Kluyveromyces lactis: one gene and its partners. The protein of the gene in region 1 purifies or fractionates together with the protein of each later gene. This does not show direct contact. Links are inferred from orthologs where the notes say so. Each region holds a gene or a part of one and is shown in the gene's direction. Other genes may lie near its edges.

The links. The genes of interacting proteins can lie anywhere in the genome.
Region 2: the proteins of SMC3 (region 1) and CSE4 purify together in Saccharomyces cerevisiae (affinity purification with western blotting; 3 studies listed by BioGRID, with this or other methods). This does not show direct contact. The link is inferred for Kluyveromyces lactis from reciprocal best matches to the Saccharomyces cerevisiae genes SMC3 and CSE4.
Region 3: the proteins of SMC3 (region 1) and IRR1 purify together in Saccharomyces cerevisiae (affinity purification with mass spectrometry; 7 studies listed by BioGRID, with this or other methods). This does not show direct contact. The link is inferred for Kluyveromyces lactis from reciprocal best matches to the Saccharomyces cerevisiae genes SMC3 and IRR1.

What each region holds. Positions count from the first base shown.
Region 1 is NC_006037.1:20,110-30,846, reverse strand, and holds SMC3 (cohesin subunit SMC3), read left to right. Parts: upstream 1-5,148; coding exon 5,149-8,823; downstream 8,824-10,737. Other genes in the region: ubiquitin-specific protease UBP7, read right to left, coding at 1-1,130; KLLA0_A00374g (pyridoxal 5'-phosphate synthase subunit PdxS), read right to left, coding at 1,756-2,649; KLLA0_A00352g (pyridoxal 5'-phosphate synthase subunit PdxT), read left to right, coding at 3,609-4,265; GTT1 (bifunctional glutathione transferase/peroxidase), read right to left, coding at 9,509-10,213. UniProt on the Saccharomyces cerevisiae protein: Involved in chromosome cohesion during cell cycle and in DNA repair. Central component of cohesin complex. The cohesin complex is required for the cohesion of sister chromatids after DNA replication.
Region 2 is NC_006039.1:1,059,780-1,069,046, forward strand, and holds CSE4 (centromeric DNA-binding histone H3-like protein CSE4), read left to right. Parts: upstream 1-5,064; coding exon 5,065-5,619; downstream 5,620-9,267. Other genes in the region: serine/threonine protein kinase PKH1, read left to right, coding at 388-3,165; ARP9 (Arp9p), read right to left, coding at 3,314-4,648, 4,762-4,791; formin-binding protein HOF1, read right to left, coding at 5,814-7,637; LPX2 (Lpx2p), read left to right, coding at 8,986-9,267. UniProt on the Saccharomyces cerevisiae protein: Histone H3-like nucleosomal protein that is specifically found in centromeric nucleosomes. Replaces conventional H3 in the nucleosome core of centromeric chromatin that serves as an assembly site for the inner kinetochore.
Region 3 is NC_006042.1:2,569,773-2,580,620, reverse strand, and holds IRR1 (cohesin subunit IRR1), read left to right. Parts: upstream 1-4,900; coding exon 4,901-8,206; downstream 8,207-10,848. Other genes in the region: metalloendopeptidase WSS1, read left to right, coding at 380-1,111; KLLA0_F27841g (uncharacterized protein), read right to left, coding at 1,509-2,090; ATG45 (Atg45p), read left to right, coding at 3,565-4,239; EMC5 (Emc5p), read left to right, coding at 8,567-8,977; anaphase promoting complex subunit CDC26, read right to left, coding at 9,125-9,466; KLLA0_F27709g (uncharacterized protein), read left to right, coding at 10,176-10,848. UniProt on the Saccharomyces cerevisiae protein: Component of cohesin complex, a complex required for the cohesion of sister chromatids after DNA replication. The cohesin complex apparently forms a large proteinaceous ring within which sister chromatids can be trapped.

The sequences.
Region 1 (10,737 bases):
AAAGATTCTAATGATGTGCCTTTTTCGGTATCAAAAAGGAGACATGGGTCAATATTTAAAAGGTTCGGAGCGACAAGATGATTGGATTCAAATCTTTTAGGAAGTCGCAAATCAATCAGTAAAAGATTCTCTCTACTTTCTGCATCCTTCAAAAGAGAAAAAAGGGCAAAACAATCAATGGTATTTTCTTGCTGGTGTCGAGCTAATCCAGTCGAAATGTTGTTGAGATCTTCTAACTCATCCCCCAGATAGACAGAGTGGTAAGAATCTTTTCTGTGGGTACGTGACCTATCAAAACTATCCATATTCTCTAACATTAGTGAAGAGTCATTCTGAGCATATAGCTTATGATGTTGTTCAGTCGGAAGGCTTTGATGTCTTGGCACTTTCCGTATTATCCCTGTGCGATCAAGAAGATCGGGTTTGTGAATGGAACCCAATAGTTTATCAGAAACTGAATCTAACGCATCGGTATCGTCTTGTTCTTTATATAAGTTCTCATCCAGCGAGATAGAGTTCAAAGAAGACGACTCAGTTGTTTTTGAACTCGCAATAGCTAGGTGTAATCTATCATTTGGATCAAGTTGTGGAGCTTTCCATTCGGTTGATGCGAAGGATTTATAATCGTCGTCAACAGATTTTTGATCCGCATTATTCAACTGCAAATTATGTAATTGGTACCTTATGATCGGTTCTTCCACCGAGAAAGCACGTTTCCTGGATGGGTCAAGGTGTTGCTTTGCGAGTATCTCCATGTTCTGATTGAGTACAGAATCAACTTTGTGCAGAACCATTAACAAAACATTCGACATGTTCAACTCATCTTGATATAGTTTCTTCAAATCAGAGTAAATGCTGTACGACTTGTTTCTAGCACTAAACTGTACAGATCCGGGAATGATTAGAAAGACATAGAAGGATCCAATCACATATTCGCACAAGCAATCTTCATATTTCTCAACGGATAAGGATTCACGATATGACTCAAATAAAGACTCAGCTTGTTCCAAAAGTTCTATAAGCTTTTCCAACTTAAGTTTTGCATAGTAATGTTTCACATCTTGGCTATACACTTCTTGCACGAATGACAGAAGTTCATCCGAATACTCCGGTGTGTACAGTCGCGACATAGATCGGATATAAAGTAAGATCTGCTTTTATCAAAGATTTCTCGGTATGCGAGCAAACAACAATGTCTTCTATTGACTCTTATTTTGCCCAGAACAGAATTAGGAATCGAAACATATAAGAGATGTTAGGTAGCAAAGTTTTCTTGCATTGTGTAGATCATATGAAGTATCCCTTTATTCATGTGATCAAAGCATCCTTTTCTATATTCATAAAATAATATTTTCTTGAACTTGAATTTGCCGTGCACTGACTTTCTATTTTTGGTGGGAAATTCGTAGATGTCGGTACATTATCTCAACAAAAAAAAAAAACTGATTAGTTCATGGAGGCAGTACTTTGAATTAAACATGGGCTATGTAAGAGTCATATACTCCTGAAAGTCCTGGTTCATCTTAATTCGACTATTCCTTTGTATTTTACGCAATTCGTTATCGTTATTAAGTATTTGCCTGAAAAATGGTATACAGCTTCTCTCGTTAATCAGGTTGTGACTCCTAAATTGTAAAGCTGATACTCTCTTGTTTGATAAGTTGTTAACAAAGCAGCATTATAAAATCAATATAAACTTTTGTTCGTCTTTACTTGAATATGTAAAAATACCTATCGCTGTATACTGTTTCGTAACTACCAGCCGATGTTTGCCAACCTTTTAGGGTTTTCGGAGTTCTTCAAGGATTCTATTGACAATCCACCCATTAGGTCACCCAAATCAGTTGACACTTTCAACAAAGTTTCTGCATCATCGTAATGGGTAGTAGCTTCCACAATTGCACGAGCTAGCTTTTCTGGGTCAGAAGATTTGAAGATACCTGACCCGACAAATACACCTTCACAACCCAATTGCATTAATAAAGCGGCATCGGCAGGAGTGGCAACACCACCGGCAGCAAAGTTCACAACTGGTAACTTCCCGTTATCCAAAACATACTTTAGTAACTCATAAGAAACACCAATAGATTCAGCGCGTTGCTTAATGAAATCTGTGTCATCACCGAGAGTATCTTGATATTCCTTAATTTCAGATTTAATCTTTTTGATATGCTTAACTGCTTCAGAAACATCACCAGTACCAGCTTCACCCTTGGTACGGATCATTGCTGCACCTTCTTCTATTCTTCTAAGTGCTTCACCGAGATCTTTTGCACCGCAAACAAATGGTACATTGAAATCGTTCTTCTTGATATGTCCTTTCCAGTCAGCAGGAGTCAAAACCTCACTTTCGTCAATGTAATCAATTTCTAAAGCTTGAAGGATTTGTGCTTCTACGAAATGGCCAATTCTAACCTTTGCCATAACTGGGATACTGACGCTGTTCATGATCTCTTTTATCATTTTTGGATCTGACATACGACACACTTTTCCTGATTTACGCATATCAGCAGGAATTTGCTCCAAGGCCATAACTGCACAGGCACCTGCCTTCTCAGCAATTATGGCTTGTTCAGCAGTGACAACATCCATTATCACCCCTCCCTTCAACATTTGAGCCAATCCACTTTTAACTTTGAAATCTGCCATATCTTAATATTCCTTAATACGTCTTTGTCGCTGTAATGATACTGCCAACAGCTTCCGTCAAGAAAAGAACGACAATAACCTAAACAAAAACTGAAAGCTTCCTTATAGTGAAGTACATTTCTTGCACAAGGCTATACTTATATACATCCAAATAACGGCGGAGCTCGCCATAGATAGACACAAGTGCTGAAGATTTCCCTGTTTAACATTGGAAGGATTCTCAAGTCTACACCTCGGGTTTGGAGTTTTGTTACAGTTTTTATTTCTGCCATGCTAAGGATTACCACCCAATAAGGCATGTGAATGCCATTGCCCACCATCACTGTGGGGCAGTTCGGATTTCGTGCAGATATTCACTCACGAACTGCGCAGTTTTGAATGCCTTTTAGACCTTTTTTCTCGGTACCTTTCGGTAAAAAGTAACAAAAATTGATCATAAAAGGAAGGCCCTTTACAGTTTGACTCATTCAAGTCAGATGCGAGATACTTACTTTAGAGGGATGAATCATCCATGCGAACAGAAAATCATTCAGGGTGCTTGGATCTCTCATCGAATGGCAATTCTGGGCAGCGTTCAAGTCAAATATCGTACTCTTAACGGCATCATATTAATTGCATACTGCTACGCCTTGTAAAGACCTTGTACATGATATAACCCATTGATGTTCTTTTACATAATCTATCTCGACTTAGAATATTCGTTTCACAGATACATACCATTAAGGAGGAAAGTAATAGATTGCTCGCCATTCCATATCGGTAATCATGCCGGTTGAAATTAAAAAGGCCATTCGATTATTATTTGCGTGCTTGGTATAAATTATAGAAGTGTCTAGCCCGTAGCATACATATATGATCTGGTCTTTTTTATCTATAAATTCTTGATAATCCGTCAAGCCTATTTTTTTCTTTATTCGATTTCCATTTGAATTTCAATTTACACCGTTTTTTGCCTTTTCATGGTTCTTTATGACACTGTGACGATGATGACAAAGCGTATTGGCGTATTAGCTCTACAAGGAGCGTTTGCAGAACACATTGCCCTTTTGAATAAAGCCATTGAAGATAATAAACATGATATAGAAGTAATAACAGTTAAGACTGCTCCACAGCTTTCCTCCTGTGATTCTTTAATTATACCTGGTGGTGAATCTACGACAATCTCGCTAATTGCGAAAAGAACAGGACTTTTTGATTCCTTGATTGAATTCGTTCACGACCCCACTAAAACGGTGTGGGGGACCTGTGCTGGATTGATTTTTTTAGCTAAACAACTCAGCAATGAGTCGAGCTTGGTAAATTCGCTCGACCTGTTAAAGGTAAAGGTGAGAAGAAATGCGTTTGGTCGTCAGGCTGAATCGTTCATCGAAACATGTGACTTTTCTTCATTTATTCCTGATTGCACAGGTTTCCAAGTCTACTTCATTAGAGCCCCAATTATAGAAGAGATATTATCTCAGGATGATGTAGAGACATTGTACACTTTAAAAGATGGATCAATAGTGGCAGTCAGTCAACAAGGACGCATTCTAGGAACGTCTTTCCATCCAGAATTGTCCGATAATGATGCCAGATTCCACAACTATTTTATTCAGAAATTTGTTCTAAACAATTGATGCAAATAAATATCTATCGTTTGTATGTATTAAGTCTGAATAAACGCTGAATTCAGAACGAAATTCTTTTATCCAATTCGCCCCTTTGCGTCATTAATTATTCAATAATAAATGCGTTTAAGAAAAAAAGAAAAAATTGACACTGACGGGATTCGAACCCGTGTCACTCCCTCGCCTATGATCCTGAAGATCATTGTTATGGAAGGGGAGTATCCTAAACCACTAGACTACAGTGTCCAATGCCTGTTCAGTGTTGGAGCAGATTCTCAATATACCTTATTGTTGATGTGGCTGGTATTTCCAGTCACGTGCTGTTAAATTAAGATCTTTGGTATCTGATGAATCCATAGCGTTTATTAGCTATATATCCAGTAGTGTATGTTGATGCACCTGGGGATCTGGCATGACTGTATTGATGGTCCTTGTCCAGATCTAATGCCTCCTTATATAATAATTCAGATTAGTTAATGATATTTCATTCCGAAACACCCGTTATGTATCATCTTGATACTTAACCGCCTATTACATTGGTAGTTACCCGATCATAGTTTATGATCCATTTAAACACTTACATCGGAAAGCAGCTAACTTCGTATCAAGCCTTAGTAAAGACGAGCGTACATTGGATCCATTTAAATACTTTGAACATTTCGAAGAAGGAAGCTTACCGTTGCATTTAAGTTAGCATGTTAGGGTAACGAGTTGAAATTTGTTTATGTTATACACTGTCTATGAAACGCGTCCTTCTTTAATAAAAAAAAATGAATATCATAAACACATACAAAATTATACAAAACAAGTTAAGTTTACGCGTCCTGTATCAGAAAGCTCTAGGAATAAGAGTAATTACAAGGGCAAGAAGACAGACTACAACACTGTTGAAATGGTTCACATCAAAACTGTTATAATCAGTGGCTTCAAGACTTACAAGAATCGGACCGTGGTGGAGAATTTTTCACCCCATCACAATGTTGTTGTCGGTTCCAACGGTTCTGGTAAGTCGAACTTCTTTGCAGCTATTAGGTTCGTCTTAAGCGAAGAGAATTCAAACTTAAAACGTGAAGATAGGAAGGGTTTTATCTACCAAGGTGCAGGGCAAGTAATGAGTGCATTCGTTGAAATTATCTTTGATGATCCTGAGAACTTAATGCTTGCACCGTTAAGAAACGATACTGGAGAGGTCAGAATTAGAAGGACAGTGGGATTGAAGAAGGATGAATACATGATTAATGACAAGAACTCAACAAGACAAGACGTTAGAAGAGTTTTAGAAAATGTAGGATTTTCAACTTCGAATCCTTACAACATTGTTCCGCAAGGGCGAATAATATCCTTGACCAACGCGAAAGATTTAGAACGGCTGCATCTATTAGAGGACGTTGTAGGTGCAAAATCATTCGAAAACAAACTGAAAGAGTCTTTGAAAAAGATGGAGGCAGCAGAGAGAGATAGAACGAAAATCACTAATGAATTAAACGAACTTGACAAACGGTTGAGCGAATTGTCCGATGAAAAGGAAGAATTGGAAAAGTACAACAATCTAAATAGAGATCGAAAAGTTTTACAGTTTTGCTTATACGATAGGGAATTGAACGATATTACGAACCAAATTGAACAACTTGAAGGTGAGTACAATTCAATTATTGAAAATTCTTCTGAGTATGTTAACGAATTGGAAAAAAGAGAAGTGCTTGCAGTAGAGCTCAACAAGAGAATGAATTCTTTAGAAAGTGAGATTAAAATAAAACAGTCTACTGATCTACCACAGTTAAAGGCATCGAAGCTAGAAGTTGCTGGGGAATTGGCGGATTTAGACACTAGGTTAAACGATATTCAAATGCAATTGGATGCTTCACAAGCGCATTTGGAATCAAATGTCAAAGAAATCGGAGAAGTAAAGAAACAAATTGAGATTAACTGCTCGTCAATTGCCGAGGTACAACCAAAATTCCAAAAACTATCAAATGAAGCAGAAATCTTAAAAGTAGAAATCGAGAAACTCACAAAGAGGCAAAGAGAATTATTATCAAAAAAAGGGAAGTATGAAGATTTTCGTACGGTAAACGAAAGAAATGACTGGATCCAAGAACAAATTAACTTATTAAACCAGTCGCTGAATAAATCTAATATATTAAAAGATCAACTGACTAGCCAACTTAGTACACTACAGCATGATTTAGAGAATTTAAATGCTGAAATTGAAGACCTAGCCGATTCAGTAAATGGAATGGGATCTGTTGCTCAGCAGGAAGACTTGCAAAATAAAGTAACACAAGCCAAGAAGGAATATTTGACGAAAATCGATCAAAGAAAACAGCTATGGAGAACTGAACAAAGACTACAAACAATTTCCACCTCTCTCGATAATGATGTCAAAAGGTTTGAGTCAGATATGAATGAAACAATTGATCGTTCTTTAGCACTTGGTCTACAAAATGTCAATGACATTGTTAATAGGTTAAATTTACATGAGCATGTTTTTGGCCCTGTAGGCGAGTTGATAAAGGTAAGCGATAAATACAAAATATGTGCAGAAGTCGTGGGAGGCAACTCCCTTTTCAATGTTGTTGTTGACAATGAAGAGACCGCAAGTTTATTAATTAAGGAATTGTTTGCAACGAAAGGTGGAAGGGTAACATTTATTCCTCTCAATAAGTTGCATGTGGATACCAACTTTACGTATCCAAATAACTTGGAGAAAAATCAATGTACACCTCTAATCAAAAAGATCAAGTATGACGTGAAATTTGAGAAAGTGATCAAGCAGGTTTTTGGCCGAACTCTTGTCGTTAAATCCTTGATTGATGGTGCTTCCCTTGCCAAAGAATACAAACTAAATGCTATAACTTTAGACGGTGATCGTGCAGACAGTAAAGGTGTTTTATCTGGTGGTTACTTGGATCAGTACAAGAGTAATAGACTGGATACTTTACGAGACTTCAAACAATCGAAAAGAGAATATAAAAAAATTCAAGTAGAGCTTCAAGAGATTAAACAGGCGCTCCAGAGTATCGAACAGGAAATTGATGGCCTAAACAATGTTGTTAAGGATGCTGCAGCAGAGAGAGATGCGTATGAAGCAGGCATAGAAAAGGCTAGGAGTCAGTTGAAAGCAAAGCTGTCTCAGAAAATTACGATTGATGACTCTATAAAAGCTTTGAAGGCGAGACTAAACAAAATCGATACGGAGCTTGAACAATGTAGAGAACGTACAAATGCCTTTGCTGCGGATATATCTAAACCATTTGTTAATGAACTAGATGCAGATGAAAAAGCCGAGTTACTTGCTATATCCAATAGCATTCAAACGAAAGAAACGTCTTTGAATTTCAATTTGTCAACTTTGAATGAACTTTCTTCTAAGTTAGACGAGCTCAACGCTGAATTAAATTCAAAGCTACTTCCTAAGTTACATGAGCTGGAGCGAAAGCCCTCTTCTTCACACAGTTTACAAATCAGTCAGATCAACAACCAAATGGAACTTGTTCTGATGGAGAAACAAACTGTGACAAGGACAAAAGAACAAGTAGAATCTGAATTATCAGTACTAGACAGCAGTATCAAATCCCTTAGAGGAGAGAAAGCAACCCTTCAAAAGGATTTAGATAAAGCCAACTCACAACAACGATCACTAGTCAAAAGGATTACGAACTTTCAGAAGAATGCAGAAAAAGTTTTATTGAAAAAGTCAACTCTGAACTCAAGAAAGGAGGAATTGCAACAATTGATTAGGGAGGTAGGGCTATTAGCAGAAGAATCCTTAAAAAAATATAAACCACTTGCTAGTGATGAAATTCTCAAGAAATTGAACACTACTACCGGGCATTTATCAAAAATGACTAATGTAAACAAGCGAGCATCTGAAAATTACACCAGGTTTGAAGATAAGAGAGGCGAGCTCACTTCAAGAGCTGAAGAACTAGATGAATCAAAGCAGTCTATTGAAAATTTGATTGACCAATTGAAGGAACAGAAGATCACTGCTATAGAAAAAACCTTCAATAAAGTCGCTGACAACTTCAGTCGTGTCTTTGCGACTTTGGTCCCCAGAGGAATTGGCAAGTTAATTATCAATCATCGTAAAAACACAGATAACTCGGAAGTATCAACTAAAAAACGTAGAAGAGGGGCCAGGCAGGAACAAAACTCAGCAGAGGCATTGAATGAGAGCAAATATACAGGAGTTTCAATTCAAGTGTCCTTCAACTCGAAGAAAGATGAACAGTTGCGTGTGGAACAATTATCTGGCGGTCAAAAAACTGTTTGTGCTATTGCCTTAATACTTGCAATCCAAATGGTTGACCCTGCTCCTTTCTATCTGTTTGATGAAATTGATGCCGCTTTGGACAAGCAATATCGGATAGCTGTGGCAAGAACCATCAAAAACCTCTCTGACACAGCTCAATTTATTTGTACGACATTCAGGACAGATATGATCAATGTTGCAGACACATTCTTCAGAGTGAAGTTTGAAAATAAAGTCTCCACCGTCACGGAGGTGTCTAGACAAGATGCAGTGAATTTTAGCAGAGGTAATAATAAAATGGAAGAGCTGTGATATTGTTTACTATTCAATGCAGATATAGCTATATAAGTAATGCACAATATAATTGGTTTTTTATCATATGTGAAAACTATTGCAATATGATGCCATTAGCCTTTACATTTACGACCTTACGCCGATTATACTACGTTTTGTAGAGTCAAACCTTATCGATGCAGTTTCCTAGTTGAGACCATAAATACTTTGAGTTTCACCTCAATATAATCTCGTTCTGAGGATACATATTGGAATTTCTGTGCATAAAATCCAGTTCGTTTATGATACTAGCTATGTCTGAAGATGTATATATATATATATACATATGGTTTGCAATCATAGGGAAGTGGGGTTTTGAACGCATCTGTTGAGACTCTTGCTTTCATGCGCCAGTTCTTTCAGTAGAACTCTCTCTTGCCTGAAAGAGCTTAGTACAGTAACACTAGTTACCGCATTTGTAGGTTCCAAATATAACCTGAAACCTCGTATTTTTCGATTTTTTATCATTATCCAAGGATGGCGCTTGTTAAACCACTTTATCCATTGTCAGATAGAAAACATTAAATGATGCTATGGCAATACGGAGTTATATAGTAGAGAAAACTTGTTGTGCGCTCTCAATTGTCTTTCAGGACAAAAGTTCGAATCAGCAGATAACTTGAGATCAGAACGTGCACCATCGCTTGTATGTAAGGAACCATTTTTAGAATGAGGCGCCATTCGCTTTGGCTTTGTCTTTTGAAGTTGAGTAAGACTCTTCCCTTTTGATAGTCTCCAACCACTTTGCTATATTTGGATACTCTTCGGTTCTGGCGAATTGCCTCTCGAAAGCCATTTCCAAGGGGAACGATAATAAAATGTCAGCAGCACTGAGTTTACCTCCGACCAAGTATCCGTCATTTTGCTCAATTTCGGTCTCAATGAAATCTAGCTGGTTTTTCACCTCTCCCCGAGAATACTTTTCACTGATTTTGTCGGCGAATTTCTTGGTAATGTAAGAGAAGGGGAATGGCACAGGAGCCTCTTTAGCCTTTGAAAGGAGGAATTCAATGAATAAAGGTGGTTGAAGCGAACCTTCAGCGTAGTGTAGATAATATTTGATCTTTTCGGCCTTCTGTTGATCTGCATTGTTAAGAATTCCTTCCTTGTCGAAATTTTCTAAAATATACTGGAAAATATAACCCGATTCCGCAAGGATATCCTTTCTGTCAGAACTCTTATAATCTATCTCCAAAATTGGTGCTCTACCCAATGGATGGATCTTCTTTAATTCCTCTGGTGCTCTAAATTGTTCATTTCTTTTGTAGGGAACGATTTCATAGTCGAGTTTCAAATGATCTAACAACCATAGAACCCTGAAGGCCCTCGATTGGTTTAGCCAATGGACTTTAATAACGTTTGTGCTCATTTCAGACTATGTGGGATGCGTGTATCTGAGTAACTTTTAACTAGACAGCGTTTTTTGGAAATTAATCATAAAGTGCGATGCATTTAATATTTGTTTTCTTTTAAGGAACATGTTATCATCTTAGCAAAATCATCGATTATAGTGAGCAAAGATGATTGCTTTCTTTTTTTAGCCCCCCTTTGCTATTTTGCCCGACTGGGAGCAGGACACAATTTGAAGTAATCACGTGACTTACAAAGGATATAGAGTACTGAGGAAGAAAAGCGAACACACCGCCGATTTGCTATCAAATGGAAACGGGCTTCATTCTGATGTTGTGCGGCTGCGACCTCGAAAATAAGCCATCAAAAAGTGATTACTACCGTACGAGGTTTGAATCGGCTATAATGACAGAAAGTCAACCCGCATAATCCCACACACTTTTTTGTTTGTCCATACATATATATGTGTTCTTTTAGTTGCGAATGATTCTCAGCTCACGTGACTTTCGTTGTTCCCCGTAAAAAAAAATATTAACTTCATTG
Region 2 (9,267 bases), on another chromosome or scaffold:
CATTTGGAATTTACTTAACATTAACATTCAAAGCAAGAGAAAATACGTGGAGAAGAAGAGAGGAAAGAAAGAACGACAATCAAGTCTAGAAGCAATTGTGATAGATATACCCATTAGTGAATAAGGTATTGAGTTGCTAGGAATATTAAAATCCCCTGATTTTTGAATCGTCCTTTTTTTTGTCTGGCTTGTCTTCTTTTAGCAATTGAAGTTCTTCATATTTTAAGGTTTGATGGTTGAAGCATCTCCTTTTTTTGCATTGTAAACATACCCTTAAGCGAATATCAACTAACAGCGTTTTGGTATCAAATATTTCTTTGTTCAATATCGAAATTTGTTGCTTTGCATTTGTACTGATAAAAATACCATTCTAAGAGTTTCATCAATATGTCTTCTGAAGATTCTTTTAACAAACCCATTATACCTACGTCAGGATCTGCCAGATCTGTTATGCATAGACCAACGCCACCTCCAATTCCGATGGAACTATCACATCCTCCTCTACCCACTATCAGAACGACAGATGATTTATCTAACCTCTCAGAAATGAAGCCATTTGGGAAGCCGAATCCTCCTGTTTTAACTAAAGCATTAACAGACGTTGACAATTTTATCTCTTTGGATCCGAAGTATTTGAACAGAAGAAACGACTCTCTGTCTTCAGTCGAAACAATTGATTCCACGCGAGATGATAACATTTCAATACCTAAGGAATTACCCATTAGCGAATCAATGCAGCGTAGGCAGAAGGAATGGGCAGATCGTGGTGCTGCAATGATAGTGAAGGATGTTCCGGATAAGCAAACAGGGAAAATCACAAAGCAAGTCATCAAAAAGGGGATTAATGATTTCAAATTTGGAGAAACGTTAGGTGATGGATCTTATTCAACAGTGCTGCTTGCAACTTCAATTGAAAGTAATAAAAAATATGCGGTCAAAATTTTGAATAAAGAATACCTCATCAAACAGAAAAAGGTAAAATACGTTAATATTGAAAAGAATACCTTGCAGAGGTTGAAGAATACCAAAGGAATCATCTCTTTATATTTTACCTTCCAGGATGAATCCTCTCTATACTTTTTGTTGGAATATGCACCAAATGGCGATTTATTATCTCTTATGAGAAAGCATGGTTCAGTCAATGAAAAATGTACACAGTACTATGCAGCACAAATAATCGATGCATTAGGTTTCATGCATGACAAGGGAGTTATACATAGAGACTTGAAACCAGAAAATATCTTGTTAGACGTTGATATGAAAGTCAAGTTAACTGATTTTGGTACTGCAAGGCTTCTAGATAGTACTTCGGAGGATGACCTTAAGTACGATCTGTTGACAAGATCTAACTCCTTTGTTGGCACAGCAGAATATGTATCACCAGAATTGTTGAATGATAACTACGTTGATTTTAGGTGTGACATTTGGGCATTTGGTTGCATTCTTTTCCAAATGATAGCCGGGAAACCGCCATTTAAGGCGAACAATGAATATTTGACATTCCAGAAGGTAATGAAAGTTCAATTTGCTTTTACCGCTGGCTTCCCAATGACTGTGAGAGATTTGGTGAAAAATATTCTAATTAAAAACCCAGAAAGAAGATTGCTGATCAATCAAATTAAAGCTCACCAGTTTTTCGCCGATGTAAACTTCGGTAACGGCTCAGTTTGGGATAAAGACCCCCCAGAACTTGGTCCATACAAGGTTTCCGCCCGTGCTTTGCAATCCTCGGTACCGAAGGTGGCCTCGTCTCCGGCTATTAATCCAATTCATGAACCTGTTCGACAAAGCTCAGTATCACCGAAGATAACCCCTAAAAACACGACAACAGCACAAAGGCCAAATGGTGACACGACATCCACCACAACAAAACGTGAGTTAGACCCTAGAACACAGCGGATTTTGAATAATGTTAAAAAAGAAATTTCTCAGCGGAACCACAGACGGGCTGCCCTTAAACCATCACAACAATACTCCGGCTCTCCAAGCCAAGGTGATATCACTCCTAATCCTGCAACAGCAGCAGCAGCAGCTCTTCAGCAAATTAAGCAACCATTAAATGAAACGACAGCAAAATCTTCAACTTCTTCTGCGGGTTCTGGAAGAAGTCAAAGGAAACCTAGTGGCTCCAACCGCAGTGCAAGTACAAATTCATCATCATCCAAGTCTGCTCCTCCTTCATCGTCTTCTAATATCAGAAAAATATCGTCCGATTTATCTCCAATGAGTAAATTAGATATAATGTGGTCGTACTACTTAAAAAATATACAAGAACGTGTGATAAAGATGGGGGAGATCAATGTTACCACGCTCAAAAACCAAAGTCTTGAAGCGAAGATTAGCAAGTCAAAGCTCTCCCTCTTAGATGCAGACGGAAGGGTGCAGAAAAAAAATACTCTACTGACTCAAGTTGTTAGAGGAGGCGGAAATGTAACTGGCTTTCGTCAAGAGAACTCAAACTTGGTTGAGCATGACTTTTATAGTGAGTATCTGATTGATCCTGAAAATGTTGAAGCGAGCTATCGTAAGCAATCTGGCGCAGATGAGGCTTCGCATGAGGGTATGTCAAAATTGAAACATTTCTTTTCAAAGGCACCTGATGCACCTGCAGAATTTATCGCACAATCAGAATATATTAAAAGAATGTGTGTAATAACGACATTCGGAAGGTGCCTTTTATTTGCTAGAAAAAACAAAATTAATCAAAATTCAAACCTTTTCTATGATCTAGAATATGAGATAGATTTGTCACAGTTAGGTGTTCGCATAAAGGAGGTTGTACCAGAGAAGAAGACAAGTTCGAAAGATATCTTCGTTGTACAGACGCCATTCAAAACATTTGTATTTCAAACGGACGAATCAGATACCCTGGTATGGTTGCATTCCCTAACTTCAGCGATTAAAAGCAAAAATGAAAGATTCACTAATAATGAAACATCAATCAATCCCATTGCTAACAAAGCGGCATTACTAGCTGAGCAGGAAGCCGAAACACAACTTAATGGGTATAAAACTACAAAAACTCCTTTCCTCACTAAAAGAAGGTCCAGTTTTACCTCACAGAGACAAAAACAAAACAATAACGGGAAGCTGGGTACAAGACCAATATCAAGTGGATCTAGAATGCTTTCCCGGAGCGAGCAAATCTTTAGAACAAACAAATGATCAAAATTCTAGTAAGAGTCATAGCTCAATGCTCTAGAGAAGTTTGATGGGCACTTTCTAAATGTACGGTACTCTGAACTGCATTTGCTGATTGAAATTACAATGGATATCTGTATACGTTTATATATTGAAAAAGTACTAGAATTATTTAGAAAGAAACCTCCCAGATGGCCTCTGGGCCTAGTTCGTCATACTTCTCCCTTGTGACATAGAATGAATTGTTAGAATGCCCAAACACTTGCTTTGTTAAGATCTGGGCGCCTAAGAAGGTAATATCAGCGAAACCAATCTTCTTCCATTCCGAGAAATATTCAGGGAACTTTGGTGTCATGATGGTAGTTGGTGGCTGCACATATTCAATCTGATTTAAGATTGGAGCAGTGGAAACCTTCCCAATTTTCTTCTGTTTAGAATCTAATTTAGCCGCAGCATCCACCTCTCTTTTATACAGTTCCTCTTCTGGTTCACTAACTATATGGTCTTTTAGCAGCTGTGATAGAAGAGCTTCCCTGAACCCTTTTATATGTGATGTCCCTCCAACAATAATGACATTTTCCCACATTGCTTTAAGCTTGGTTATGTCATCAATCTGGCTCATTGCTTGTCCTACAGCTTTCGAGACATCCTTCAACAGATCTTCATAGCCTGTGAATCTCTGCCTGCTTACAGTAATACGATTACCATCAGTATCAAAGAAGTCATTTGTCTCTAATTTGCTGTTGTCCAGTTTTTCTTTGTTTTTGTTTCGTTCGCGCTCTTCTAGAATTTCTCGAGTATCACGCCCACTAGTAACAATTGTAGCCACATCTAAAGTACCTTCTTCGTCATCTTCGTTGTCGATAGCGTATTGATCCATGATATCTTGGGACAAAATTTCGTATATATCCGACCTTTTTAAATCCTCAATTTGGGACTCGGTGAGATTTGGTAAAGCTCTCTGTAGATTCTTATTTATCGAGTTTCCACCGGAAGTAATCTGTCTTATGAAGCAGGTTAAGGGTGTATAGTCCATAATTGGTACAACATCGGTGTGAAACTTGCCAATATCGATGATCAAACAATTTTGCAAAGAGCCATAGGCAAATGAATTAGCTAACGAGCTAGGTAATATAACAAAATGCTTCAATTTCATTGCTTCAAAAGCTGTTCTGCAAAGTAGTTCTTGTTGGAATTGAGTCCAAGAGTAATGCGAAATTAACAAAAATGGAATATTAGAAAGAGCTGTATCCCAAGCGATTGGACTATCGTCACTCTCCTGTTTTAACACAGATTTATAGATCAACTTTAGAAAATATTGGAACGCATCAATATCGACAATGCTTCCCTTCACAATGGGACAGATAACAACATCAGTAACAGAGGATGTAAAGTTACCATTTGCATCTCTGTAAACTTTTGTTGGAATAGAAATCGAAGGCGGCTGCAAAGTATCTTCTCCAATACCAAATTGAACCAAAGTCCTATTGGATCCTGGATATATTATCTGGACAAAAGTACCACATGTAGTAATGTGAGTGGATCGGTTAGTAAAGTTATCTTAGTAGTTTAAATAACTAATGTTTTCGGAATAATGAACAATCTGGATACCGCACATACGAAGTAACTGTCTTGTCTTAATGGTGCCATTTTTGCTAAATGGTTTCTAACAATACAACAAAGTGCTCGATTTATCGTAACAATACGAGTTACAGTTGCTAGGTCAATGACGAGACTTTTCCTATCCAAGTAGCTAATTCAAAGTATAAACTTGTTTATCTTCTATTACTTTTTGAATTTTTCAAATAATGAAAACAGTTATCTAGCTAACATTAGCCTACTCAATGATGAATATGACACGCGAAACATTGAAATTAGTTCTATGACACGCAAAAGACCATACGGAAAAGAGATTGATACATAATGGAACAGTCTATCAGGAGCATAGACGGTTCTAGATCTTTGAGCAATGTTGGCGCTTCACTTATAGATCGTGAATCGATCAATCAGAGAGCACTACAATTATTACAGAGAAACAGAAGAAGACGTTTGTTGTTAAATAGAAGTGAAGACAAAGCAAGATACATCCAGCCCGAGCGTTCTGCTAGCAGCCAGCAGATTCACCCTCCAGAGCATCATATCAGCGCACATGAAAGAATAACAAAGGCTCGGGGAACTAGATATAAACCTACTGACCTAGCTTTGGCAGAAATAAGGAAATATCAAAGATCCACAGATTTGCTTATATCCAGAATGCCCTTTGCGAGGCTAGTGAAAGAGGTAACAGATCAATTCACTACCGAGAGCGAACCTCTTCGATGGCAATCCATGGCAATTATGGCTCTTCAAGAAGCAAGTGAAGCCTACTTAGTCGGTTTATTAGAGCATACAAATCTATTGGCACTTCATGCTAAAAGAATTACAATTATGAGAAAGGACATGCAACTAGCTAGAAGGATACGAGGTCAATTTATTTGAAGCAATCCTTCCTATCATTTAAAGTACAGATTTATCTGCTCAGCTTCAATTTGCTAATAGTTTGATGTCTATTGGAAGAGCAGAAATTATATATAAGTATAGAACTTTATATTGGTTACATATGGTTACAAATTCATTATTTAACGGGTGAAAATGGTCAGAAAGGAAAGCGTCCAAGGTGAAAGTGATGTACATCAATTTATTACTTTCACGTAATTCATTGGTACCAGACCATGCTGTTTGTTACCTTGATATACCTCACCCACATACCAGTCATCATTTATGCATTCGACTAACAGCAGGATATCACCAGAATTGAAAAGTAGTATGTTATTTTCATTGGGTTCAGTGTACGAATACATCGCTTTGACATATTTTACGACTGGATTTTTCATGGAATCAACGATGGGTAGATTCAATTGTTCACCATCAATAGTCACACGTTTACAACGCATTATATTCAAAGAGTTGCTGAAAGGCAACACTGTTCTGCTCACAGTTAAGTTGCTAGAAGCACCAGAGCTCGTTCTTGATGTCATCGGACGATCATTCATTTCCAAGATTTCTAATGCTGTTTCGACATCCGATGCGATGGATTTTCTACGATTTGCAGTTGGTGGCTTCAGAGAGTTGTTATTGTCGTTGTCAGAAGTATCCGTATCCATTGTGGGCGAATACATTGATGAAGGTCTAGATTTTCTTCTATTGCGTGAATTCCAAGATTTAGCAAACCTTTGAGAGTCATCGACACTTGAGGCCATGGATGAGAGAGAAGTCGACATGGAATCATAACTTGCCTTATTTTTCCTATGAGTAAAGTCCGTTGGATTTGAAGAAGTCTCTTCTGAAGATTCTGATAATGTTGCTCCATGTCCTGGCTTTGTAACCACTTCTAAATAGTTTTCAACGGAATGCGGAGCAGAGTTATCATTTAGGACCTTCGATTCTATGGAATTAACAAGGGCAGCATCAGTTTTTGGAGTTGGCAACCCTTTATCGACACTTAATGCATTTATTGAATTGAGCCTGGTGTTCTTCAGCTGGGTTGATAGTCTTTTTATATTTTGAACATACCTATCATTCTTTGTTAAATCCAACGCCTTGTGAGAACTCTTCGGACGGATCACATTAGATGGGTTAGAGTTAGCACTTGAGTTGTGCGTTGAAACTGAGTTAGAGTTTTTCAACTTGATTCTTCCAGTACCATGGTGGTAAGAAAAGTGCGATATTTCAAGTTCAGGTGTGAAGCTGGAAAGTTTTTGTTTTAATTGTTCCATCAAAGAGAGTTCCAGTTCCGAAGGCTGGGTTGTAAAATCAGCGTATTGTTGTAGTAATTCCCTAGAGACCTGGATTCTTTGTGTTTCTAAACTTTGCAATTCTCCACTAATATGTCTCCATTCCTCAAACCAATGTGCTCTAGCAGCTTTACATTCATGATGTAAGACGGTTTTCCTACGGTGTGATTCTTCCACTATCGAAGACCATTTTTCCAATTCTCTCGCATTTTCTTTCCTTTGGTATTCGCCCAAGGCAGTTTCTTTGTTGAGCTGATACTCTCTCAGTTTATTCTCAGCACTGAGTAATTCTTGATCTATAGATTTCAAGGCTTTCTTCTTTTCATCTTTCAACTTCCTTAAGTTTTCCACGTTTCCCGTTATCGTTGACCATCTGGCTCTATATTGCTTTAAGAAATCACTCATCGTACCGACATTTTCCCTGTTGAGCCTCTCATATGCCTTAGAATGACCATTGGCTATTGTCTGCTGGGAGGATTGGAAATATTTTAAGGATTCAGACATATTATTGTAGTCCGCATATCGTTCGAGATTGTTCATTATTCTTGCACTGAGTGCTCCTAATCTTCTTGCATAATCCATCTCCAACTCACTTCTCTTAGTGAAACAATCGAGCAATAACTCACAGGTGCATATACCTCTTCCAACATGCTGAAGAAGAACGGTAACACCTTGATCGTCTTCGTCCCAGAAACTTTCTTGATAGTTGTATATTTGAGTCATTCAATCGATAGCTTTCCTTGCTAATACCTACTCTTTGTTATGCCCTCAACTTCCCTTCAATTGTAGATTGTTGAATGACAAAACAGATACCGTACATCTAACTTCAATCCTTGTGAATTGTTAACATACACCGAACAAAGTTTGGTGAGAGAGCCAGAACCATCCATCTCTACAACTGAATACAATCACTGTGATAGTGCTGTTCGATGATGTTTACATTATTCCTGATTGGGGAATAAGTTCAATCACGTGACTTATATTTTTGTTTGTTTATTGCAAAGCAAGTAATAATACCAAAAAGGGAAATTATGCTTAATTCTGTACCTCTATCATTTTTGTCTGTACCGGCCGTACAAGAACATGAAAAGAGAAAGCGAGGATAAATAGGAGAGCCTAAAATCCCCATAATCTCTGACGATTACCCTGGTATATGGACAGCACCGTCTAATGACTTGAGAGTCCAATTAAATTCCTGAATTAACCCATCGCAAAACTCTCTATGTCTCCTTTGTGATATGCTTTAGCTCCGCACGGGATTGCAATGAAATAATTAGCAAAAACGTCGTGAGTATTTTCTTCCTGCTAAGAACCATCAAAGAAGGTTCACAGAAAACAACGTACAAACTGTATATCAGGGTAACCAGCCGAGTTTTCCCCTGTTTTCATTACGACATTGTTCCCAAATTGAGACTATTTCTCTGCAACACAGTACATACAATGATACAATTCGTAATAGCAATCGTCCCCTTAAAAACGGCAAACAAAGATGACAACCAAGGCACCAGCTCAACAGCAAGGGTTCCAACTACACTGAGGGTATAAGTTTCTGCGGTACCTCAGCTTGGTTCCTTCCTTTTTTATTCTCAATTATTCTGGCCAGTTTTTTTTCGCCAGGAGTCCCTAAAAAGTCACTCTAGCCAATTTTTTTTTCTTTTAAGTTTATTTACTTTGCAATATCAAGAAATTATATATCCTTAATTATAGGGTTTCTAATCAACAATTCACTTTAGCATATATTCGCTTCGTTGCTTTATTATAAAACAAACGTGAATTCAAGTGTATTTCGTTCGTAATTACAAGTAAAGGTTTATCATAGTTACGTTTACTCCCACTAGAAAGAAGAGTTAATACTAAACTTCTCAAAAAACGGGCAAAGGATAAGCAAATTACTGATATCGAAATCAGAACGTGAACCAAGTCCTATTGTGTTTTACAAATTTGAGAGGAACATAAACCAAAAAACTACACTACTTGGTCGCTCAATTGTACGAGTCTAAGGAACACTTTCGCTTTTTACTTTGAATTATTAGTAGCTAAGAAAATACCCAGATATATTACCAGAAACAGAATGTCTTTAGTTTCTGCGGTAACTGGCGACGAATCCAGGGATACTAATGGTGCAGAACAAAGTTCTGTTTACCAGAGTGCCGGTAAACCATTATCCAAGGAGGCTCTATACAGAGCAAAATTGAAGTACGGTGTGTTCCAGTCTCCAGCTCAGTCTCTGAAGGCCGGCGTGGTTAATGGTAAGGATGCTTCAGATACTGCTGCCAATTTGGCAACGAGCAACAAGACCACCATCGAAGCCTACAAAAGGTTATTGAATCCAAATGCTTCGAAGGCAGCTAAT
Region 3 (10,848 bases), on another chromosome or scaffold:
GTTTCACAGGTCAATTAAATCACTGTGGAACTGTACGTAAGCTTGAGTTGTATTGGTGGATCCTAAAATCGATTGGAAATCTCAGGGTGTGTGGACACTTTAGAATAAATTAGAAAGGAATGTGGTTTGTACGATATGTATTTTTAAAAAATTTAGTTGAAATAGTGGACTATCGATTTTTGTTTTAAGAATCGTATTTAAACATTTCAAAAGAACCTCCATTTGGAGACACATCAAACGAAGAGACCAAAGGAAAAATTGGATTTTAGTATTGGATACTACTGCGGATGATAACAGTAGAATATCCTATGGATATGAACTAACTAAAAAAGTTGCGCTATTGAAAATTAATGACAGCCTATATACGGACAACGCACAGATGGTTCCTCCGATACAAAAGAATCCGCATGTAGGAAGCATTGCAGTATTGCAAACAAAACCAGGAAAAAACGATGCATTAAACATATTGAAAAGGGTCGCTCATAACGTATCGTATCTGATGAAAGAGGAAAGGTTCAAAGTAAGACAATTAGTTGAGTTTTATCCACGGAATCGATCACTTTTAGGTATGAACGTGAACAAAGGCATGAAGATCATGTTGCGGCTTAGAGACCCATTAGACGAATATAAATTTCTACCGATAGAATCTATTATGGGTACCATGCTTCATGAGCTTACCCATAATTTACATGGTCCTCATGACCGAAAGTTTTACGAAAAGCTGGATCAATTATCGGGAAGACAATGGACCATTGAACAAATGGGACTTTACGACAGCTTTCTCGGCACCGGGAAAAGATTGGGTAGCAAACCGATGGGGTCGATTATTATTGGAAAGACATTAGAAAGAGGTAAAGGAAGAAGACTAGGTGGTACGACACCTGGAACAGGACCAAGAAGGAATGCTAGAGAAATGGCAGCAATCGCGGCAGATAAAAGGGCAGCGGATAACAAAACATGCTGCAACTCAAATGATCAGAAAAACTATATGCCTGTTCAAGAAGATCTAGTAATAGAACTTCTTGATGATGATTCAAACGAAGAGAATCATAATATTGAAGTCACCAAGTTAGAAACCGCTGGGGGTATAGAAATTATGGATTTGACGTGAACTGCAACATCTGAGATCATAAAGAGATGAAATTAGATAACCAAGGAATGTTGGTTTACATATTCATTATCTTATTACTTCCCTACTTGGAAACCTTGACAAAGAAAAGATTACAACAGTAATTTTATTTAGTTATAAAGTATTTGAATGTCAACAGTAATGAAGCCACCGCTGCCCAACCAAATAGAAAACAAATTACATGAGGCCGTCGGGAAACTAAACAAAAGATGTATGGAAGTGCCACATAAATCTTTTTTAGATTTGAATTCACTTAAGGTTAGAAACGAAAACATGATTAAGATTGGTGTCAACCGTAAAAAGATCATTGATCTAAAGAATAACAAATGGCAATCGGTTAAAGAACATGGAATATCAATACGATCATAGGAGTCAACAGTCACCCTAAAATTGAACGCAAGCAGATAATAATAGACACAATTTTGATTGAGGCAGCCATTAAGGAAACTGATCCCCTCAACTTATCATTTTGTCTACCATTAGTTCCATCGTCATTGTCTGGATTCAATAATTTTTCAATGATCCAAAGAATTATTTGTAAGATAATTGTTTTCCAATCAATTTCGGTACTTGTCAAGTCCTGATTGGAAAGTAAGTCAAGGATTAATATCATGAAATGAATTCCGTTACTGAATAAGGACGAACCGTGTTGTGTTGTTGCGACAAAAAAAGACGTGGTACTAATATATTGTTTCACAACTTCATCTTGGAATCCATGGTATCCTAAAAATGAGACCAAAGAGAAGGCACCAATAATCAGCTCTACTATCTGTTGTATAATTTGTACTATAGTCGCAAAGGCAGGTGAGTTTAAGAAAGCAATTATTCCTTGAATGATTTCGCCTATCATTCCAAGATCTCTGGTATCAACAACATTTGTAACATTTTCCAATTCATGATCCAAGGCATAATCGCCTTTCTGCACTTGTTCGTTCTCGACCCTAAGTTTATTCTCTGACATTAATTGTAGTTGTAGTTATAGTTATGGTTAAAGTGATAAATAGTGTGGAGCTTTTGCAAATTACTATCTACTTAACTTAGAGAAACTCTTAATTAAACCAATGACACAATAATGCAAAGCCAGCTTAAGCATGTAAACGGAACCAAGATAGCCTATTTTGTACCTGAGAAAATTTTAGTTTGAGAGCCGTGAAACAGAATACTTTCATTAACTTTTGAGTATATTGAAGAGCTGCTGAAGAAATTACTGCATTCGAGCCAGACACAAAGGCAAGACAATCATCGGTTTTTTTTTATTTTTTTTTGACACATGTCAGAAGCTCTCACATGTCAGAAGCTCTCATAAACAGTACTAATGTTTTTTTTACTTGATAAGAAACACCTTGGATCGAGTTATACGGCGTCGAACGACTGATACATTTCTGTATTACTTAAAAATCACATCATGAGGTTCAATATGAGTGATCTACAAAAAGAGTGTTATTCTTTTTGTAATTTCGCATTTTGAATTTCCTTTTTTTTCCTACATATCATGAACCACTACCGCACAGATTTACCGCACTGCAAGTTAGGAAGGCAATGAGATAGAAACGATGAAGAAGCAACATATATATATATATATATATATATATATATATATATATACTTATAACCACTCACAATCAAAAAATTGATTGTGTGTGGTAACTCATCTTGACCTACACGTACAGAAAATCGGTTTTCGTAAGAAATTGACCTCAATAACCTACGAATTTTGTCTCTTTCATTTCCGGCATACTATTTCGTTGTCATTGACAACGGTGTCACATTCTTTCTGTTTCATTTAATCATTACGCTTTCAGTGCCACCGCTAGTGAAAAAATCAAAACATCAAAAATCGAATCAGAATTCAGGCCTCATTATATAAAAGGGATGCATGTTTACTTTAGAGGAAACAGTTTATTTTAGGATCTGACCGGTACAGGAACTGGTATTTTCACCCTGCGCTTGCCATTAAATTCTTTGCTTTATTCCCGATAGATAGTATCAGATCAGTTGCTACTAAAAGCTTTAGAGATCGAAAGTCGTCAGTACTGTTTTCACGTTTTAGGGGGAAAAGTATAAGCCAATAATTGAACCTCATTATTTCTGGGATAATATTATCACATTTGTACAAAGGCCTCAGAAAATATAATAAAGCTCACGAAGCAGTTTACTGTATCCATTCATCAACGGTATAAAGCAGTTATCATTACTTTGTCAGCCAAAGAACTGTACAGTATTTAGGACTTATATCTGCTACTGATTTTCTTTCAAGGGTTGCTCGCTGTCATATATATTTTTGATCCTGAAAAAATTAGACGCTTGTCCCTGAAAGACAAATAAAAAAATACTAAACTACTCAAAGAAATATTTACGATAAGAGGGTCTACAAGGACTTTGCTCATTCGGTTTCCAGAGCCACCGTATCCATCAAAACTTTACCATTGAAAATAATGTCCGAAAATTGTCAAGAGCTTTGTCTTAGAATTGATCCCGCTTCATGTGGATTTACTAAAGATGATCATGTTATTATCACCGGGGATTTCGATAATTGGAATCCTGGTCAGTACACCTTGAATTATGATTCAAGCACAGGCTACTTTATTGCCCATTTGCCGTACGATGGCTATAGTGAAACGTTCGTCTGTAAGTTCGTTGTCAACAACGAACATTGGAAAGCTTTGAGCTGTTTCGATAAATATATAGATGATATGGGTCACGAAAACAATTTAATCCATTGCAAGGCTTGGTTGGAGACTGAAGAAATGGTTGCTGATATTGTAATGGAAGATGTGGAATTGGATTTAAAACCTTTTAGATCTTCTATGTCACCTTCAGATCTTCAGATCGATCAGTTAGCAATCACTAGGCCAAGTAGCGAACAAGATTACATACACGTAACTTCAAGAGGTGAATTAAGCTCATCTGAGGACGTGGAATTAGATCCGAGAGTAACACAAGGTACAATTGATGATATTTTGGTAGATGATATTGACGAACAACAATCTCAACAAACTCTACTACAGGCAAGCTACTCTGATCAAAATGCCAAATATCCATCTTCATATAATCCGATACACGGACTCGTCGCAACTTTAAGACGTGCAACCACTTACTGGAAACGTTGATGGTTAATTTTATGCTATTTCTTCTTTACCTATTCTCCTTCTAATTGATTTTTCTTCCTTTCACGCTAATATACACTGCTTTTTGCTCAACTTCTTCTATCCAGTAAAAATCTTCTGAACACATATTCATCAAACTACAATAATTACTATTTAAACCTCGTGCTATTTCTCTTCTTTAATTTATTTAGCCTCTAACTTCTTTTTTTTCTCAGGATGTAATACAGTCTGTCGGTTTAAATCGATTACGACGATTGCTTCAAAACACACTCTCTTCCCATGCTTTGGTAGCCTCAAATGAAAGCATACAAAAGTCATCTCATTTGAATGAAAATTGCTCTTAGATAAAGTTCATGGATGTCTTCGTAAAACAGGTCATTTAACTTTAGATAGAGAAATTGATATAGGTCTGTGATTTAACAATGTAACACTGTTGTTTCACTTCTTAACACAGCTGCCGTTATTAGGCCAAAATATAATACTTACATTTTACATGGATTCGAGTAAAAAAACGCGTCGCGTAAATCTAAAAAACTATATGTATGAAAGTAAAAAAAAAGAGGCGACGAACAACAAATCAAGGAAAAAAACAGCTCTCACTCATAGTACATTAACAACAACAGTCACTTACTAGAACCATTCAGCCTCGTTCCACTGTCTACCTATGCCAGTGAGAAGGTCAACCAGGATAAGGACCAAATCCTCTTATAGTGAACAATCTGGATCAGAATCGGACTCTGAGCACGAAACTATAGGATCCATTGTCACCGACGATCGAATAAATATCGAAAACACGGATAATCAGAAAGAAGAAGAAGCTTTATCACAAGGTTCTAGTAGTTCAGAAGAAGACGATGACGCCAATGATGACGACTATGTTGCCCCTGGCTCCAGAAAAAGACCAAATTCCGGAGGTAGGCGCGTTGCAAGCAACAAGAGAACGAAATTAAAACAAAACGAGAAAGGCCGACCATCTAATAATATATCCAGTGCTGTTTCAAGAAAAGAACAGGAAGCATACATATCATTGCAGAATGAATTCAAACCCACAGAGCTTTTTGAAATTCTAAGCAGCTCCGACGATTTTTCTTGCGAAGAACTTGCCAGTGACTGGTTGGATTCCTATATAGATAACCGAAATGTCAGCTTAGCGAATCTCATAAATTTCTTATTAGATTGTTCTGGATGTTTCACTCATATTGGTGAACACGATGTAGCTAATAATGACTCTTCGAATGAAACAATAGGGGAAATACAAATTATGTTCCATGAGCAAAAAAAACATGAGTTCCATTTATTACTATCGGCAACACACAAGAAGGCAAAGTTCCGTCCTTTGAATGATAATTTTAACATTTTCATGACCACATTAATGGACCTAGCCATTGAGAAAGAGATGATATATGTTGAGAATGAAAAAGAAGAAAGTGACGAGATTGTGATCGAAACAAATCCATTAATTATTGACTTACTTACATGGATACCTTCCATGTCAGTATCAAAAATACGATGTTTGCGATATGTTTCAGCTAAAGCCATCTTCTGTTTCCAAGATTCTCTCGCACGAGCTTCTGCCAGCTTAGAAGCAGAGGTGTTATTTAAACTGAGGAAACAGTTGACACTGGAGAGAAAAAAGAAAAAGCCCAAGTCCAAAACTATGGAGACGCTAGAATCTTCTATTTCTGATGCTGAAGCTACGAAAACTGTGATAGAAAACACTATTGATAACATAATAAAGCTCTGTTTTGTTCATCGTTTCAAAGATGTAGATGAAAATATCAGATCCCTTGCGATATCCTACTTGTTAGATTGGATTGAAAACAATCCAGACTACTTTTTTAAGGTAACCTTCCTCAAATACTTCGGTTGGTTGCTATCTGATAGCAGTAATTCAGTCCGGTTACAAGTTATAAGGTCCCTTCATGACCTAATTAAGTTCTCCAATAAGAGAAACAAAAATACTGTCGATAACGCTGCCCTAAGACAATTTTTCGAAAGATTCAAAGATCGAATGTTAGAAATAGCTGGCAGAGACATCGATATTCAAGTAAGATTAACCTCAGTTCAAGTACTTTCGTCGATTAATGGGTTGGGTTATCTGGATGACCATGAAATAATAGACATCATTAGCTTGATCTTTTTTGATCATGAAGTAAAAGTATCTTCTTCGTCAAGGGACGTTAAATTCTTGAACGAGGTTACCAAATTCTTGGCAAACATTGTTTCTGAAAAAACGGAAGAGTTTCTAATAAACAATGAAAGGTTTAAGGTTCCGGTAATTTCGGTAACGGAAGAGCAGTTTGTTAAGGTGGGTGTGTTAATGAGATTATTACACAATTCATTGTTAAATCATATCAACTCCACTAGTAATTTAGAAGGTTATGCAAAAGTACCACCGGACAAAATCAAACTCTTACAGCAAGCGGCGGAATTTTTATCCCCCAAGTTTTACAACTTAATTGAAACTATATCAAAACTACTCTATGAAGAGGGAAATTTCGATGGCAGCACAATTCATGCTGATGCAGATGATTTTTCCAATGATCTGGGTGATATCAAATTGTTCCTACCAGAAACTGATAACAATGTCCTATTTTATGCCACTGTGTTGGGCGGCTTATGCACAGGCGGCATACAGTACAACAAAGGCCAGGACAGACAAGCCGTGACACAGTTAATTCTTCCAGAGTTAGAAGATCTTTTCAAGAAAATGAATCTTGATTCTGATCAGATATATACTCAACTACTAAATGTAATACAGCTATTAAACACAGAAGAATGGAATTCCAGTGAATCAAAGGATGTCATTTTTAATATCAATAAAACAATAACAAAACGATTTGAAAGCTCTCCAGTGGTTTTGAGCAACGCAAATGCCATTACTAAAACCTATAAGAGTTTAATTCCATATTTGGCATCCCTTCAAATACCAGAGGTAACTGGTTATTGGAAGTCATGTCTGATTAACGTGACATTATCATTCAAGAAGTTTATGGAATCATTTGACATAAAATCTGATAATTCAATAACAACATTATATCTGCAATATGTTAACAAACTTGTAATTTTGGGTAAGGAGTTCGCAATTGAAATTTCAGAAACGCTTTTGGATGACATTGTTGAAAAATTCTTGAAGCCGTTGAGTGAATTACTACCAAAGATTGATTCGGATGCCATATCTGTCCTAGATTTTAAGCTTTTCACCTCAATAGTTACTTGGAATTTAGCAACTTGGAGAGATGTTATCAAAAATAATGAAGAACCTATAGCTGTTTCACATACTACGCTGAATCAAATTAGAACGGTATTAGTCGAATTGCTGAATCTTTCTTCAAAGATCGATTCTAACCCTGAAATACAACACGACAAGAAATTCCATGTGCTTCATGTAATACTCTCTCCATTGTTAGATATTATCATTGCATTCAAAATGTTTGAGCTCGATTTGTCAGAAAAGGATTCCGATTGGATAAGGGCGTTAAGGCAAGAATATTCAGTTATCTCTAACGAAGATCTAACTGGTATTTGCCACAAAGTTTTCCTCTACCTTGAGAGTTGTCTTGGAAAATTTTTGGGAATAACTCTAGATCGAGTGGCTGATGAAGATGTAAATTATGGCGCTGTCAACTTAGTCGATGTTGATGGAGATCCAGAGAAGGAGCTTTGTATCTATACCATTAAATTGAAAGGCCTCATCAAACTTGGAATTCTAAACTATAGCGATTTAACTACAAGAATTGGGTTAAACCAAGAGAAATTAGGGCCATTATTTGAGAGTGTAGTAAGCGAAACGGTTTTCGAAGATGAACCGAAAAATAACGCTGAGAGCCATCCTGCAGCCAAATTAAACCAAGAACCAGTACCCCAACAATATGATGAAGTTCTTGAACCAATTGAGGAATTCACTCAGGATGAAACAGTTCATTCGCCTCCGCACCCTGCAGACCCCATTGTTTCATCACCAATCTAATCTTATTGGGGATCCTACGAAATGAAATTCCTGCGAGTGCATTTAAATCAGTTTATTTTTTTTTTTGGTGAATTGTGTTAAACATAATACATAAAACCTATTACATGGCTATCGATAACCTAAGCTCTCCTCAATCATGCGGCTGTGTGTCAGTACTGCATGCTATCTCTCTTTTTTACCTAGATAGTTTCTCTTGTCGGAAACTCTATAACACTCAGAAAAAAAAAAAAACGGAAAGGTTATTCAAGAATACCAAACAAAATATAGGTAGTATAAGGTTCAACTGGACAGATCTAACATAAATAGGCTTTGTTACTTTACTTAAATACTACTATTCACCGTTTTATCTTGGAATCAACAATGTCAATACTTTCCAAATCATTCTACTTTATAGCGTGGATACAGATTATTCATTCTGGTGTGTCCAGCTATGAATTTCATCAGATTGTGAAACATATCATTCTAGAGAACCCAGACGCTAAAACTCCAGGTTTACCAGATGACGTAAAATTGGAGGCACTATGCGGGTTATTATTCTTTATTTTGGGTACATTTATCAGTCAATCCAAGCTTAAGTACCTTAGTATTCGTGGGGAGGAACGAATAATTGAGACAGATGAGTATCTTAAACCTATCGAATTGAACAAGGCGTCCAGTACAGATGTAGTGATAAACAATGATCCTTATGGGGAAATAAACTACCTTCCTTCATTTGTTGACATCCATGCTAAGAGGAAACTGTTCAAAGAATACCTTCATCGCAGTTTGTGAGTTGATAAAGATTGGTAACTTAAACGCATACATATATATAATATGTACTGGGGAATTACATAATATAATGACTTTGCAATAATAACTAACGGGAGTAGATACAGGGCCGATAGCCAATATAGGCACTTCACCAATCACATTAGGACGTCAGTTATCATTGTGATTGTACGTGTAAAAGGGATTTGGAGGATCCTGTGTACTCTGTGTACTATTTTGTTCAATGAATCGAGGATCTGATGATGCAGACTGTTTATATCGCTGAGGTGGCGTCATCTTATGCAATGAGTGTGATAAAATATCATTCCGTGTCGCACTTGGGTTAGAAATGCCTTCTATCTCTGCTAATCTACTCATTTTTGCAGATGATTTCAAAAGATCTTGATGTTGCGTCTGTATCTCGCGTTGGAGCTTGTACTCTTCTAAATGTTCTTGTAGCTCGGAAATATCATCGGAAGTCAAGGATAAAACTGTAGGATCACGCCTTAGCATAATGGTTGGTATTTATGCCGATTCTATGTTATAATTCTACGTTATGCTATATAAATTGACATCTTAAGAAACTTGACTGCTTTTGTGTTATTAAATTCGGTTGATGAAATATGATGCGAAAGGAAAAGCAAAACCTTCACATACTATTACAAATGAACGTATCTAACACAATATGACGCACATGCAACTCTAAGATCTCTTACTCGATACAACATTTTACCAAATCACTTAAAGAAGGAAGGAAGGAAGGAATGAGCATATATGATCACACTTGGACAATGTAGTTGACCATACGGCGAGTCAGAATCTACAAATTTACATAGCCTTGTTGGCGCAATCGGTAGCGCGTGTGACTCTTAATCACAAGGTTGGGGGTTCGAGCCCCCCACAGGGCTTTCCATTTTTGTCTATTTTATGAATGAATCCTAGATTTTTAAACTTCTTTTTTTTTATGTCTGTAATTTACAGACAATTTCAATGCAATTCAAATTTGAAAACTTATACGCATAACGATCAATTCTTATGGCATAGAGAAACTTAAACAGCTCAGAGTAGCCTGCTTCTCTTGTATATAATAACCAGCCCAATCATCTCTTTGCAGGTTTGATTTTTCACAGTTGAAACCATAGTACGACCTCTTAGACACAAGATTTTTTTATCCAAGTTTCAAATTTGAACTTCGCAGTACCGGTTTACTAATTGATAAAAAATGTCATCCAGTATGAATGGTGGAGACCACAACTACGAAGATAAGCATGCGGGGAATTTTCCAACTTGCCGTATTTGTATGCTGGAAGGAACGTCCGATAATCCGTTGTTCCATCCATGCAAGTGCAAAGGCTCCATCAAATATATTCATCAATTATGTTTGATCGAATGGCTACAGTCAAAACATGTCGATGTTACAAAACCTGGTGCAGGGATGGTATGTTCGATTTGTAATCATCCAATCGCGTTCCAAACTTTGTATGATGAATCAATGCCAGAGAAGATCCCACTTCTACTTCTTCTGAAACATAGCGTTTTCAAAATCTTTGGCAAATTAAATCACTATTTCAAATTCACATTGATTGCGTTCCTTTTCTTCATTGGAATTCCCCTGTCCTGGAATATCTGGGGGAAGCTATATACGGCTACTGTGGATGATTTTTCATTTCCTTCAAATAACAAATGGTATATCAATTTGATTTATGGCTTTGAAAGAAACATACCAAAAAATCCAACAACTACGGATATTTTATATCAACTAGTGATAAATTACAGATTTTCGTTGTTACAAATTCTGATGGTTTTGATCGTGCATGCTATCGCATATTTACAATATGATATGGTAGTCAGAGAGCCAATTTTCAATAAGATGATCTTGCATAAGATTGGACCAA